2 linked regions of the Nothobranchius furzeri genome follow. Each later gene encodes a partner of the first gene's protein in a complex. Links are inferred from orthologs where the notes say so. Each region holds a gene or a part of one and is shown on either strand. Other genes may lie near its edges.

Region 1 (7,722 bases):
CAGGCTACTAAAACAGAATAATCATTTCAGCAGCAGGTCCGGTCTCCTTCAATGAGTCCAGATGATCCCGGACAAGCCCCCATATGTTACAACCAAGTTCATGGGACTGCAACATAAGGAGGAGGTCTGGACACATGGTGTGAGTTAAGACTATTTTTATTTCAAAATCAGCTTCCAAAAGGCCTCACTAAAAATGCCACACTGGCAGGTGCTCCCAAAGGTGCTCCCTCTGATAAGTCTCATCTCCTTCTGTAGTTGCACCAAGCAGCCTTTTATGCTGCATCCATAGGTGCAGCCACTCAGAGCAAGTGCCGATTGAACAAAGCCAGACCAATTATGAAGCAGAGGGGTGTCTGCAGGAAAATCCAAAGCACCAATCAACTGTTTGTACTGGCATAGTAACAGTTGTTTGCTCACAAGATGGATGCTTTGTATCTCCCTTTGGCAGGATTGTAACACCCATAGACATAAATACGTAGATGCCCCATTGGGTGCTGGAAAGCATAACAGTGTCGCTGCCATATTGGACGGGTCTTCTCACTCAGAGTGAGCAACTATGCCCATTTCTGTGCAGCCTACGTACAATTGAAAACAGCTCAAGTGGGATTACTAGTGACCTTTCTAGCCTACCTGATAGGATTTTATCTATACATTTATTTTATTATATTAATATTTTAATTATCATGTCATACCTTGTGTCTGATTTTGTAAAAAGGCTTGATAAAGTGTGTTTTTTAGTTGGGTAAGCACCTTCCTCAGTGGAAATGAATGCACTGGAGGTGAATGGAGACCCATCTAAAATGGCGGCTGGCCCCTACGGCAGCTCCTATAGGCAGCGCCAGTCCACGGGGCGTCTACGTATATATGTCTGTGGTAACACCAACCCAGGTCCCTCTCTAGTCAGAACCAGAGCCAGTGCTCCAAGTGGCCAGAACCAATTCCCAGTCCACTCCTAGCCCAGGCTCATTCTAGACCCACTCTAGTCTTTGCCCAATTCCAACTCATTCCACTTTCTCGTCTTGGCTACCAGCTGGTAGGTTATTTTCTGTGTAACAGTACTTAAAATAAGAACTCATGGTAGAAAGACTCCAGAAAGAAAGATTCCACATTTCAGAGGCTGTACTGCAAGGATCCACGGGTCCCATAAATAGATTGGAGCCCCCACCAATCCAGTTTCTCCTTCCATCAAACACCTTACAGGAAACATCAAACAAGTTTTCTTCTTCTGGAGTTCATTTTAAGTCAGAAGTTGGAGAACCACCACAATAGAGTGAGACAATCATCAGAGAGACATTTCAAGTAACAAAAAAGTGTTTCTTACTGGAATACGTCTTCCAGAACTCGTTCTGAGGAAAAGAAAAGAGCAGAACATCAGTGGAAGTACCAGCAGCACCTGCTGGGTTCTGTCAGTTTTCTGGACTCAGACTTCTAGATTCAGAGTTCATCTGGAACATCACTAACCGCCGTCTCTGTATGCTCAAACACCTCTCTGGCCTCCTCAAAGCTGCACTTCTCCTCCAAACACTCCCTCTCCAGATCTCCCGTTTTCAGCTCCTCAAACCAGCCGGAGTTGTACCTCCGAGTCCGGATCAGAACACCATGGGCCTGGTCTGGACCCAGAAAGACTGAGGAACACAGAACAAGTAAAGAATTGACCAGGATTGTAGTCATCAAGATATTTTTTAATAAATTCACTTAAAGAATCTGTTAATTGATAGTTGTGATTGTTTACAGCAGTTCTCTAGAGATCAGGGGGAGTTTTATGGGATGTTTAGCCAAGAACACCAACTATTAAACACCAGAAAGTTTTTTTTTTTGGATCCATCAGAAAAGAAATCAGGTGGACACAAGCTAGTTAACACTTAAACCATTCATTCCTTTAAACCACAAACTTTAATCTAAACCAGGAGTAGAATCCTGGTAAATGGTGATGTCACTTCCTGTTTTCAAGCAAGTCATTTAAATTCTGCTGTTTGTTTCATCTTTGGTGTATTGGTCAGTTTTTTGCTTCACTCATTTAATTATTACAAGTAATCCAGTTTTCAGTGTTTTTGTGTAAAACCAAGAACTCCTCGTTTTCTTGGCTTTTGCTGTTTAAAACCCAAAGATCGTTGAACTTAAGAGGCAAGTAAAAGTCAGAGTGGATGTTATCATTTGTTTGCATAACCTTCATTATCTAGCTGACAGCGCTGTTGCTATTAAAGACTAAACACGTCTTCTCTGATCAGAAGAACATACAATTCTCTCACCTGAAACTGAGCAGCAGCTCTGAAGGCTGAAGACCAACATGATGAAGACTCTCAGCCACATGCTTGACTTTGTCACAGGACTGCCGTCCTTTGCCTCCGTGGACATGAAGGTACAAAGTGCCCCCCCCCCCCCCACCCCCCAATTGCTGGTGACCATGGAAACACCTGAGTAGTGAAATGCAAGGGGATCGATGTTCAGATCACGTTTCAGTCCTGTAAACATCTGTCCGGGTCAATGGTCAAAGTTCCTCCAGTCACCAGTCTTACTCTCAGTGATGGAACATTTTAACCCTAGAATCATGCTATTTTACCACTGAAAGAATGTATGCGTTAATCAACTTAGAATAAAAACAAAGATGTTTAATTGGTAAAGAAAACCTCCAAAGAGTCAGTCTGTTGTTTTCATGTTGAAATTACTGACCAATTAAATAATAGATCAAATAATTTGTGAATCTAAATTATTGACATAAAAGATAAATCAAACTAAAACTTTAAGTTATTAATGAGCCCTGATATAAAGATTTGCCTGCTTTCTAATTAGTCTTGTGGTTATGATGGATATTTTACTGTCAAACATGTCACGAGTTGGGCAGGAGGAAGTTTAGGACCAAAGATGCAGAGAACCAGATGAACAAGGCAGGAAGTGGATGATGAAAATAAAATCCTTTATTTAGGAGTAATCCAAGAAGGCAGGGAGCCAAAAAAAACGAGAATCAAAAATCCAAATATCTAAACCGAGAGATGCTAAAACCATGGGAGCACAGGACCTGGAGGGGATACGGGGGGGGGGGGGGGGGGGGGGGACCCTAGAGGGGCTGCAGATCTGGGGACACATGAGGAACACAAGGAGACACATGAGGGAGACGTAGACAAGGACACATGAGGGCGCTGGGAGACACAAAGGGAGAACCTAGAGACGGATGAAGAACACAAGGAGACACATGAGGGAAGACGCAGACGCAGACAAAACAAAGCATTTTGTTCAATGAGGTCCCGCCCCCTCCCTCTCTGCTGTGCTTCAGCTCTTCCTTCAAAGCTCCTCCCACTCTTGTGTGTGTGAGTCCTGCTTGTGATTGGTTGTTCTCGTGTTTCATTGCTTGATGTGAGCTAAGATTTAGCCAACAGATACTAATGATGGTTATTAGCATAGGATCTAAACTGTTATGCAGAAGGAACAAAAAGTTCAGACTCAGAATAAATCAGCAGCAGTTTATTCAAACTTTCTCCACACTTTAAACTGTGACTTCTCACCACTGGTCTGACCCAGATTAACCAGTAGCCATAATTTTGTCGATCCAGTCCAGAAAGTTGCTGACTTTGGTGTAAATGCCGTACATATTTTCTTTAGCGCAGCCCATTCCCCAGCTCACCACGCCCGTTAGGAACCAGGTCTTCTTGTAGCGTGTTACCAGTGGGCCACCGCTGTCACCTTCACATGCGTCCTGGCCACCACGCCTTCGTCCTGCACACATCATGTTCTTGGTGATGTTGAGCTGCGTGTGGAGGCGACACTCCTGCGGGTGGACCTTTGGCACCACCAAACGCTGCAGGAATCGAGCAGAAGAACCAAACTCTAACAGGCGGCCCCACCCAGACACCGTGGAAAGGCGGACTAAAGACAGAGTCCGAGTGAAGGTGCTGTTGCGAGCAGGGAGGCAGATGGGCACCACGTAGCGCCCCAGTTTGATCGGGCGGTGCAGCTTGAGCAGAGCCAGGTCACTGTCGTAGGTGGAGTGACTGTAGTTTTGATGGATCACCACCTCAAGAACTCGCCGTTGCTGTTCAGTCTTCTCAGGCTCCTGTCGGTCATGTTTGCCTTCACACAAACACAGTTGGAGACAAAGACTGAGCCTGACTAAAAAAAGAGAAAAAAAAAGATAAGTAGTCCAACTTCAACCTTACCAACGGTGACGTGGAAGATGGCGACAGGCTTCGACCAAACGCAGTGAGCTGCTGTTAAAATCCACACTTCTGACAGGACAATGGCACCACATGTGAACTTGTTGTTTTCACTTAACATAGCCTGAAGAGACAGCAGAGACCAGGAAGGTCAAGTGGTCTGGGTCCAGCTGAAGAGCACCTGATGTGACTGGAGGGTAAAACGTACCTGCCATGGACACTGTCCTTTAGGACACATCTGACCATTGACAATCCTCGGGGTAAAATGTACCAATGGTCTTCCACAGACAACGGCCTCTAGACCACACCCACAACAGAACCGGTCAGCATGCTGCCTCTTATGCTAAATATCCAACAAGCTCTGAAAAAAACTCCCAAACAAGCTTGAAACCACAACCAGAAGAAGATACTCAACATGGACATTTGTTTTCAAAAGACACTCTGAAAGACCCTGAGAAGAAACCCCTTTCATACCAGTACTAGCTCTGGTTGTTGCCACACTCCAGTTTCAAGTCTTGTGGTTTCGAACTTTCCCCCTTTAGGGTTTATGTAGCAGGAACACATGGTCAACCTGGAGGAGATCCTCCCAGAGAAGTCCAACCAGGAATTCTGGGTAGATTCTGAAGTAACACCTAAATGAGCTTTGACCACTAGATTACTGGCTGAAAACACCAGTTTGGTTCCAACTAAATGTATGAATGTAAAGAAAACTGTCATCTGGTTAGGAATAAATGAAGGTGAGCTGCTCTGTTGTCACCAGATCCAGTTAACCTGTTAACCAGTTCAGACCTTTAGGCAGGCATGTGTTGTTGTCCTCATCCAGACCATATCCTGAAGCACAGAAACAGGAAGGAGATTGATCCGGGGGCTGTCTGCAGAAATGCTCACATCCTCCATTTCTGTAGCGACAGCTGTTTGGGGTTGAGCGGACTGCGAATGACAAGAGACAACGTGAAGAAACCCGAGACAACGTGAAGAAAGACCGAATGGAGACAACCTGAAGAAACAAGACAACATAAAACAAGACCAACAGGAATAGACAACATGATGAAACCAGAGGCAACATGAAGGAGGACCAGGAGAAGCATCTGACCTGTAGCTGCTGTTCCTACCTTTGTCACAGTTGAATCCGTGGAAGCCTGGTGAACATTTGCAGATGTAGCTGTCGATGTGACGAGTGCAGGTTGCTCCATTCTTACAGGGAGATGATGAGCAGTGGTCTACAGCTTGAAACAGGAAATGAAAAAGTCAACAAAAAGCAACGTTACCTTACATATGATCAATGCTGGAGTCTTCTCTACCTGTGTATGTCCTCCAGAAGTTCTCCTGGAAACAGAAAACACAATAAAAACAGAGAAGATTGTGTAACTAAAATGATTAAAATGATGGGTTTGACTATGAATTACCAGCTGCTGAGGTGTGGCAAAGATCTCCCTGGCTTCCTCATAGGAACATTTCTCTTCCAAACATTCTCTCTCCAGGTTTCCTAATTTCACCTCCTCCAGTAAGAAGTTTGCACGACGAGTACGATGCAGGAAAATGTTGGCCTCACGTTGGTCCAGAAGCATTCCTCCTTTATCGAAAAATAGAAGAGATTAACTAAAAGCACACCATAAGCAAAAGGTCTTCATGTCCGCTGGAATTAGATGAAAAAACTTTGGTACAAACCTGAGGGCAGAACTCATCAGAATATTTCTAAAATGTTACTAAAACCCAAATCTTACTTCAGCAAGGAAATTAATATGAGGAGGAAGATCTACAGATCTCCAAGTCTGAGAAATATGATTAATAAATATTATGGTCTCACCACCAGCACCAAAGACAAAGGTTTTGCTTCCAAACCTGGATCCTTCTCTCAATCTTCCCAAATCCTTCTCATATCCAGACATCTCATATCCAGACCATCTCATATTCAGACATCTCATATCCAGACATTTCATATCCAGACATCTCATATTCAGACATTTCATATCCAGACATCTCATATTCAGACATCTCAGACATCTCATATTCAGACATTTCATATCCAGACATCTCATATTCAGACATTTCATATCCAGACATCTCATATCCAAACCATCTCATATCCAAACAATCTCATATCCAAACCATCTCATATCCAAACAATCTCATATCCAAACCATCTCATATCCAGACCATCTCATATTCAGACATCTCATATCCAGACATCTCATATTCAGACATCTCAGACATCTCATATTCAGACATTTCATATCCAGACATCTCATATTCAGACATTTCATATCCAGACATCTCATATTCAGACATTTCATATCCAGACATCTCATATCCAAACCATCTCATATCCAAACAATCTCATATCCAAACCATCTCATATCCAAACCATCTCATATCCAGACATCTCATATCCAAACAATCTCATATCCAAACCATCTCATATCTAGACCATCTCATATCCAGACATCTCATATCCAAACCATCTCATATCCAAACCATCTCATATCCAGACATCTCAAATCCAAACCATCTCATATCCAGACATCTCATATCCAGACATCTCAAATCCAAACCATCTCATATCCAGACCATCTCATATCCAAACCATCTCATATCCAGACATCTCATATTCAGACATTTCATATCCAGACATCTCATATTCAGATATTTCATATCCAGACATCTCATATCCAAACCATCTCATATCCAAACAATCTCATATCCAAACCATCTCATATCTAGACCATCTCATATCCAGACATCTCATATCCAAACAATCTCATATCCAAACCATCTCATATCTAGACCATCTCATATCCAGACATCTCATATCCAAACCATCTCATATCCAAACCATCTCATATCCAGACATCTCAAATCCAAACCATCTCATATCCAGACATTTCATATCCAGACATCTCAAATCCAAACCATCTCATATCCAGACCATCTCATATCCAAACCATCTCATATCCAGACATCTCATATCCAGACATCTCATATCCAGACCATCTCATATCCAGACATCTCATATCCAGACATCTCATATCCAGACCATCGCATATCCAGACCATCTCATATCCAGACATCTCATATCCAGACATCTCATATCCAGACCATCTCATATCCAGACATCTCATATCCAGACATCTCATATCCAGACCATCTCATATCCAGACATCTCATATCCAGACATCTCATATCCAGACATCTCATATCCAGACATCTCATATCCAAACCATCTCATATCCAGACATCTCATATCCAAACCATCTCATATCCAGACATCTCATATCCAGACATCTCATATCCAAACCATCTCATATCCAAACCATCTCATATCCAGACCTCTCATATCCAAACCATCTCATATCCAAACCATCTCATATCCAGACATCTCATATCCAAACCATCTCATATCCAAACCATCTCATATCCAAACCATCTCATATCTAGACATCTCATATCCAAACCATCTCATATCCAAACCATCTCATATCCAGACATCTCATGTCCAAACCATCTCATATCCAAACCATCTCATATCCAGACATCTCATATCCAGACATCTCATATCCAAACCATCTCATATCCA
Region 2 (8,188 bases), on another chromosome or scaffold:
CATTCGGACCAGAACCACTCACCGCAAAAACAGTTCCTTCATGAATATCAATCATAGACCTGCCCACTCCCGCTGCTTTGCTTCCATCACCTGACTATAGCGTTGTGTTTGCACCTGAACTGAGCCGCTCTGGCCAGTACCTACACTGACTTGTATCAAGTAGCTGCTTCTCTAAATATTGCCTCCCTATATTATTATCTTTTCATTGTGTTTATTTCTTTATTCTAATTTTTCACTTATTTTTTTCTTGCATCAAGTACTGCAGCAATATCCTAATGTTGTTTCTCACACATATGGCAATTAAACCCTTCTGGCTCTGATTCATCCATTTTCAGCCGTTTATCCGGTTCGGGTCGCAGGGGCTGCAGTCTAAGCAGGGAGGCCCAGACTTTCTTCTCTCCAGCCACTTGGGCCAGCTCCTCCAGGAGAACCTCAAGGCGTTCCCTGGCCAGCCGAGACACATAGTCCCTCGAGTGTCAGATATGGAGATTTAATTTCACACACACATACACTGACAACTAATGGGACTTTAATTCTTTTGGTCACTACCCTAAGCTCGTCACCATAGGTGAGGGTTGGAACGTAGATCGCCCGGTAAATCGAGAGCTTTCCCTTCCAGCTCAGGTCTCTGTCCACCACAACAGATCGGTACAATGCACACATCACTGCAGATGCACCAGTCTGCCTACTGATGTCACGCTCCATCCTTCCGTCACTCATTGACAAGACCCAGAGATGATTAAACTCCTCCACCTATGACATATCATCCCTGACCCAGAGAAGGCATTCTACCCTTTTCTGACTCGAGACCAGGGTCTCAGATTTAGGAGCGGATTCCCATCCCAGCCATTTCAGACTCCACTGCAGACCGCTCCAGTGAGAGCAGGAGGTCATGTTCTGATGAAGCCAGCAGGACCACATCATCTGCAAAAAGCAGACACCTGATCCTTAGGCCACCAAAACGATCCCCTTAACACCTTGGCTGTGCCTGGAAATCCTGTCCATAAAAGTTATGAACAGAATCAGTGATAAAGGGCAGCCTTGGCGGAGTCCAACTCTCACAAGAAACGAGCCCGACTTACTGCCGGCAATGTCCAAGCCATGGCCAAGCTCTAGCACGGTCATACAGGGACCTAGAAGCCCGTATCAGAGGGCCTGGTACCCCATCCTCCCTACCATCCTAAGGGTAAAGAGCTGGTCCAGTGTTCCACGGCCAGGATAAAAACCACATTGTTCCTTCTGAAACCGAGGTTCAACAATCCAACGGACCCTCCTCTCCAGAACCTCTTAATAGACCTTACCAGGCTCAGGAGTTTGAGCCCCCTGTAGTTGGAACACACCCTGCAGTCCCCCTTTTAAAATAGGGGGACTACCACCCCAGTCTGCCAGTCCAGTAGAACAGCCCCTGATGTCCACGCAATACTGCAGAGCCGCGTGAGCAAACACAGCCCCACAACATCCAGAGCATTAAAGAAATCTGGGCAGATCTCATCCACCCCTGGAGCCTTGCCATGTGGGGCTTTTTGACCACCCCAGTGACCTCAGCACCAGAGATTTGAGAGGCTAACCCAAAGTCCCCAGACTCTGCTTCCTCACTGGAAGACATGCTGGTGGGATTCAGGTGGTCTTTGAAGTACTCCGCCCAATAAGACTCTTTTTTCAGCTTGACTGCATCCCCAACCATCGTTGTCCACCAGCGGGTTCGAGGATGGCCACCACGGCAGGCACCGATGACCCTGCGGCCGCAGCTCCAGTCGGCCGCCTCGACAGTGGAAGCACGGAACATGCTCCACTCAAACTCAATGTCCCCCGCCTCCTCCAAAACATTTTGAAGGTTCTGTCAGGGGTGGGAATTGAAATGTCTTTTGACAGGAGACTCTACCAGACGTTCCCAGCAGACCCTCCCAATATCTTTGGGCCTGCCAGGTCAGACCAGCATCCTCCCCCACCATCGAAGCCAACTCACCACCAAGTAGTGGTCAGTTGACAGCTCCGCCCCTCTCCTCACCCAAGTGTCCAAGACATGCGGCCGCAGATCAGATGAGACGACAACAAAGTCGATTATCGAGCTGCAGCCTGAGGTATCCTGGTGCCAAGAGCACATATGGACACCTTTGTAGATGGTGTAGATTTGGAGTCAGGAAGGACATTTTACTGACTTTCTATTATTCTTTTATAGAGAGTGTTATCACATTTTCCATCCCCTGTTGGTTTTATTCTGTCAGCCTGCAGTATAGAAGCCGTCTACAAAGCACCGTCAAGGTGTGCTCTCGGATCATTGGACTACCACTGCGAAGCTTAACTTCTCAATGTGACCAGCATACAGGAAGTTTAGCACAGAAAATCATTAAAGACCCATCACACCCTCTTCATACTGTTTTCGAGTGGCTGCCCTCCAAACGCCGACTTCGATGCCCATGCTGTAAAACACAGAGGAGGAGAAGTTCCTTTGTTCCCAGAGCTGTGCTTCTTCTTAATTCTCAGTGCAGATAGGGGGAGTGTGCATTACTTGTATGTGTGCGTGCATGTAGTTACATGTGTGTGTGTGTGTGTGTGTGTGTGTGTGTGTGTGTGAGTGAGCCAAAGTTTTAATCATTGTTGGTCATTCACATGTGAGTTTATGACATGATTGTGTATATAGGTTTTTATGGGTTTTACAAATGTGTAATTTGGATGTGTTTTTAGAATTTAGAGATTTTAGTGCCGGCTGCTTCACAATGCTGTCTCGAATTGCCCCTCGGGGACTAATAAAGTTGTCTTGAGTCTTGAGTCTAGAGTTCATAATGGACAATCCAACAACAAAACATTGTTCAAACTCAGATCAGTTAATTCTTCCATCTAGATAATTAAACAGATAACTGATTATGTTTCATTTGTCAGAACAGACAAAACAAATTGATTAAACAGAACACTTTTAAGATCTGATCATTTCTGGTTAATACTTTCAAAGTTCTTCACACTGGAACCAGGGAGATGTAGGTCACTTTCTTTAGTAGTCCGACCAAATACTGTTTACTATCTTGTTTCTCTCTGGGACACACATTGGTTTCACATCTGGACGTGTATGGAGACAGTGGGACGTGAACCTCAGGGCAGCTCACCTTTGATGATGGACTGGTTGGTGTTGTTGGAGCACACCGTCTGACTCATCTCCCCTAGCTGCTTGGCTGTCCTGCTGGGTATGGAGGCCTGGACGCTGAAGCAGTAGCCGTCCTCTGGGTCCAGACCAGTCACTTCTATATTACTGGACTTGGACTCCAACTCTTTCTGAACAACAGATCAGAAGAAAACCATTACACCAGTACAAGTCTGTCAAACGTGTCATCAGGGCAGCCGCGTTTGCTGTTACTCACTTTCCCGGAGCTCTTATTTTTCCGATATGTCACTTTGTAATAGAGCTTGTCAGAAAGGATGTCTCTGATGTTCTGCTGGCGGCCATCTTTAAAGAGAGCGGTGAGCGGGTCTGACACGTACAGCGTGACAGACTTTTTGTCTTCGTGCTCCTTTATCTGGAATTCTGGTCGGCCAATGTCGGCTTTAGAGGAGAGAGTTGATTATTTAAAGCACATACACCCCCACAAATCATCACCCTAGCATTGTGGGGGTGTTGAGTGGCACACAAATGTTGTTTGGGGCATGTCTGCCTCTGGTAGGCTATCCCATGACAGATTGGTTCTAGATGAGGTGACTACAAGAACTAAAAACCAGGAAACCTCACCAAGGACTAGGGATACCCGGGCTCACTCTGGAGTCCAGCCTGGGGTAGAGGTGCTGAGTGGGGATGGGTTTACCTGTGGCTTGTTGCCCAGCTGAAAATCTTGCTCTGCCATCATATAGGGCAGGCATTGTGCATAAGCACCAGCAACAGGTCAGAGTACCCTTCTTGGGCTTCAATACCCTCATGAGTAATACCAGTGGGACCTGGAGGGGTGTGATTGGGAAAACCGTCTCACCATATCTGGACCCTGGTGGTTTTTGTTGTCTGACTTCACGGTTCGTCCACAACAACACGTAGCACCAAGACAGTCTGGTTCGCAGGTCAGTGATTGATTATCATGTCATCAGATATGTTTAGTGTGATTTGGACACTCAGGTGAAGAGAGTAGCTGTGCTCTCAACTGATCACCTCCTGATGGTGAGCTGGATCAGGTGGAGAGGGGAGAAGCTGAACAGTGCACCCTAGCAAACAGTGAGGGTGTTCTGGGAACGTCAGGCAGAAACTTCACCTCCAGTACAGCTTTTTTCTTTCTGAGGAGCAGTGGACCTTGAATTTGATGGGACCATGTTCCAGGCCTCTACTGCTGATGCAGCTGCTTGAAATTCAGGATATAGGGTAGTTGGTGCATATCATGATGACCACTAGGGATGTGTATTGGTGAAATTCTGGCGATAGGATACATATCACAACACAGGGGAGACGATATATATATATATATATATATATATATATATATATATATATATATATATATATATATATATATATATATATCACGGAATATTGCGATACATTCAGCCAGATGACAATAACGATTTTTTAGACTGAAATTATTGTAGGAAAATTCAATAAACAGTCCAAACTGATATGCAACATGTTTAACATGAAGTATCTGAACCATAATGGAGGGATTTACATTTCAGTGGTGGAAACAAAACCCGTTGCACACTGCTGCTTCCTAGTGGCCGGCCTTTGAATTACACCAAAAGAAATTCTTCCAAAAGTCTGATACACGGCTTTTGAGTATTGATATAATATCGCAGGAAAAAATATTGTGATATATTGCCATGTCGATATTTTCTTACATCATAATGACCACCAGCGTGTTGAGCTTGATTAGCTCATGGGACTCCTGAAGCAGCTGGCAGGCCGAGCAGACCCGTGCTTGAGAGGATGCAGAAACTGAACTCCAGTGTGGAAGGAGTCTGGTGAAACTCGGGTTGTGTAACAGCTGCAATGGTGACGCATCTCTTTAAGGTAGAATAAGTTCATGTTTAGTAATGTCACAAGTGTGCACCACTCAACCACTGAGTACAACCCAAGATGGCTTCAAAGAGTTTCTGGCAAACCATCATCCAATCTCAGCCAGAGATGAGGACCCCCCCATGTTTCCAAAGCCTTTAGATGCTGATGGTGGTTGACACTTCAGGGACAGTACATTTGGGCTAGCAGACTGTGGCGGTGGTCCTTTCCTTCAAAAGAGGGAACCAGGGGTATGTACGTTCCCTCTACTCGGACACCCCGGCAAGGTCTATACCAGGGAGAGTGAGGGTGCAACAGGAGTTGCCCAGCCAGTCTTCATGTGTTTTATTGACTTAGTAAAGGCCTACGGTCCTGTCTATCAAGGTGTCCTGTGGGGATTCACGTGACCTTCTAAGGGCTTTTTGAATCCCTGACAAAGGTTGTTTTGGATGGCATCAGAATCATTTCAGTAAACGTTGGGGGTTTTGTCCTGGATTCTGTTCATAATTTCTAGGAGCAGCCAAGGAGTGACTCAAAAGGAGAGTAAAAGGTAAAACCCTTTCTGTTCCAAAGCAGAGCACATACAGTGTGTTGATTTCTATCTAGTGAACAGATGACTGGTCTTTTCTCCTCTGATCTTTCTTCTGCTGCACCAGAACAGAACGACCTGTTTCCAGGTCAGTGTTGGGAGTCTCTGTGGACGGTGTTGCTCAGGTATTTGGATTTTAACTGTGCTGCGTTTTTGTAATGTCTGTTTCCATGGTGACAGGAGATGACGATGATGTGGGAGGACACGAAGGCAGACGGAGGCACTTACTGTCTGTGGTCGGGCAGAAACGAGGTGCGCTGCTGTGTGGGAACTCTGTGAGGTCAGAGGTCACACCAAGCGGGGGTTCTGACAAGATGTCAGCTGTGTAGCAGACATCCAGGTTAGTCAGAGACATAGACAGGTCACAGGTCGTAGAGCTGGATCTGACACAGTGATGGTTTCGCTCTTTGTCCCCTCCAACCCTGTAGTGTGTGCACGCACACACACACACACACACACACACACACACACACACACACACACACACACGCACGCACACACGCACGCACGCACGCACACACACACACAGTGTGTGTGTTTAACACAGGGCAGTTCAGATGTTCTTCTCTCTAACGTATTATTTAGCTCGTTCTCAGGTCGGGTCTCTGTCTGGGACCTGGCATTCAGCTTCTCAGTGATAACAACAGTACCCATGTGAAGAAAAAACAACAACATGAAATCAGCTACATGAAAGCTCATATCTCACGTTTCTGATAGGAACACACACACATTCACACCATCCAGAAAGGTCCAGCCTGAGCCAGACGTGGTCCTGAGGGGGACAGAACTCCTGGCGGCTCTTTGAGTTGAGCCACCGCAGCTGTAACACTTTATCTGTTCGACAGCATTCAGGACTGTGTAACCTCTGACCCTTTAACTAAGTCTTTAGCGTGCTCAACTTCCTGTTTTTGCAGTTTCCTCTAAAGGTCGTACGTAGGGCAGCTCTAATGTTTCAGACCTTAAAGCTTTCTTCTTCTGTTAACAGTAACAGTCGTTCCTGGCGGGTTTTGAAACCGACTCTAAGTGATGGTTGAAGCTGGAACATTCTTGCCTCATTGCTCTAAATGTTAAAACTGGTGGCAACAAAAAAAAAAAACCCGTAATGTTTAGTCAAAACAATGAATGATCTGAATCTCCTCTGAATCGTGGAATGCTGGAAAACCTTCGACCACTCACTGTGCACGTCCCGTTCTAAACGACTGGACCGTTACACCATAACCAGTTCTGACCCGCAGTGGTCCTATTGGTCACCTGAGCTCCACCAGTCAAACGTGTCGACCAGAATATAATAATCTGAACATAACTCCAGCAGATCTGGTTTCTCTGTGTGACATTTGGGTGTTCTGCTGGTTAAACTGGGCAAACTGGTGATACTCACACTGAGAACTCCACTGTGTACGAGTAATCAGCTGACGGTTTGGGTTCCCAGGTCAGAACCGTCTTGAAGTTGGTGGACTTCCACGAGATGTTCTGGGCTCGAGGAAACATGGCTGCAACACAGAAGGTGTTTGGTTCAGTTCCACAGAGGTGGTTCAAGTCAAAGGTTAAAGGTCAGATGTGACCATGGTACATCAACAGCCTCCAGAAGAAACTGGTTCTTTACTCTGAAGTTATGGAAGCATTTTACTGATTTTTTTTGTTGTTGTTGTTTAAACTGTAAAATTCAGAGATGCAGACAAAAGTTCAGGAGAGATCTGAGAATCAGCCTCGGGGCTGAGAACCTGGAGCTCAACTATGTCCTCAGATAAAGGTTCTGCCTTGGCTTTGGAGTCGTCTGATCTTATTTACTCCACTAGAGTTTCTCCAACAGGTAAAAGCAGAGGATTAAACCAGATACTTCCTGAACCTCGCCCTCCAGTGATCCATAATCCATCTGTGGGATGAAACTGAACAGACTCGTGCATGTTAGGAGTTGTAGGACCTTAAAGCTCTCATTCACTCAATAGTTCAATAAATCTGCTGCAGTGGAATGAATGAATGCCTTGTGAGGCATTCTCTGTGGAAAAAAAGCTCTGGCGCTGCAGTTTTCCACTAAACATCTCATAATCTGATGGAGACCTGAACTTTAGAGAATCCCTCTAACAGCAGGTCAGCCAGCGGCTGTTTTAGTCCCTTTATTTAAAAATAGTAAACAAAAGAAACTTTAAATATAGCTGTCTAAACAAAAGGTTGTAAATTATTCACTTGCATTAATATTATTATGATTAGTAGTGGTAGTATTTACTTAATAATAATAATAATAATAATAATAATAACTTACCTCTTAATTCCCTGCATAAATAAAAATATTAAAAATATTTTCATTATTAAATTCAGTGTAAAGTTTGATCGTTTGATTCTAATGGTGGACGATAAACAGTTCATGAAAAGTAATATAGGAAACTTTCCCAAAACTCTGGAGGTTTAAGAGCTGCTGAATAGTCTATAAACCACCCAGCCTGTCTGAAGAATCCTCTCGTCACCATCGTAACACCGTGATGCTCTGCTGATGTCTGGAGTAGGACTTAAGGTCTGGTTCTCTGAGTCTGGATCCAGAACATGTTTTAAGGTGGTGCAGAGACTGTTTCTGTGATGAAAATGTGCGGTCTCAGCGAGGGTGAACGGTGATGCTGACATGGATCAGCAGACGCTGTAGAAGC

Evidence for each region. Proteins that work in one complex are often made in the same cells at the same time.
Region 2: the proteins of f7l (region 1) and f3a are in contact, whole or in part, in a crystal structure (PDB 6R2W), measured with the Homo sapiens proteins. The link is inferred for Nothobranchius furzeri from reciprocal best matches to the Homo sapiens genes F7 and F3. Residues at the interface, in NP_000122.1 of Homo sapiens: Leu73, Lys78, Phe91, Arg96, Leu99, Phe100, Ser103, Ser120, Lys122, Gln124, Leu125, Ile129, Cys130, Phe131, Cys132, Leu133, Pro134, Phe136, Glu137, Gly138, Arg139, Lys145, Gln148, Ile150, Val152, Asn153, Glu154; in NP_001984.1 of Homo sapiens: Thr49, Asn50, Lys52, Ile54, Glu56, Trp77, Lys78, Ser79, Lys80, Phe82, Tyr83, Glu88, Asp90, Asp93, Gly141, Gln142, Thr144, Glu162, Arg163, Thr164, Leu165, Arg167, Phe172, Tyr188, Trp190, Lys191, Ser192, Ser194, Ser195, Gly196.

The regions. Positions count from the first base shown.
Region 1 is NC_091743.1:82,202,568-82,210,289, reverse strand, and holds the end of f7l (coagulation factor VII), read right to left. Parts: intron 5,722-7,722; coding exon 5,555-5,721; intron 5,475-5,554; coding exon 5,450-5,474; intron 5,375-5,449; coding exon 5,261-5,374; intron 5,079-5,260; coding exon 4,938-5,078; intron 4,446-4,937; coding exon 4,357-4,445; intron 4,273-4,356; coding exon 4,152-4,272; intron 4,066-4,151; coding exon 3,518-4,065; 3' UTR 3,445-3,517; downstream 1-3,444. UniProt on the Homo sapiens protein: Initiates the extrinsic pathway of blood coagulation. Serine protease that circulates in the blood in a zymogen form. Factor VII is converted to factor VIIa by factor Xa, factor XIIa, factor IXa, or thrombin by minor proteolysis.
Region 2 is NC_091747.1:36,262,474-36,270,661, reverse strand, and holds part of f3a (coagulation factor IIIa), read right to left. Parts: intron 7,040-8,188; coding exon 6,928-7,039; intron 5,972-6,927; coding exon 5,778-5,971; intron 3,536-5,777; coding exon 3,354-3,535; intron 3,268-3,353; coding exon 3,102-3,267; intron 1-3,101. UniProt on the Homo sapiens protein: Initiates blood coagulation by forming a complex with circulating factor VII or VIIa. The [TF:VIIa] complex activates factors IX or X by specific limited proteolysis.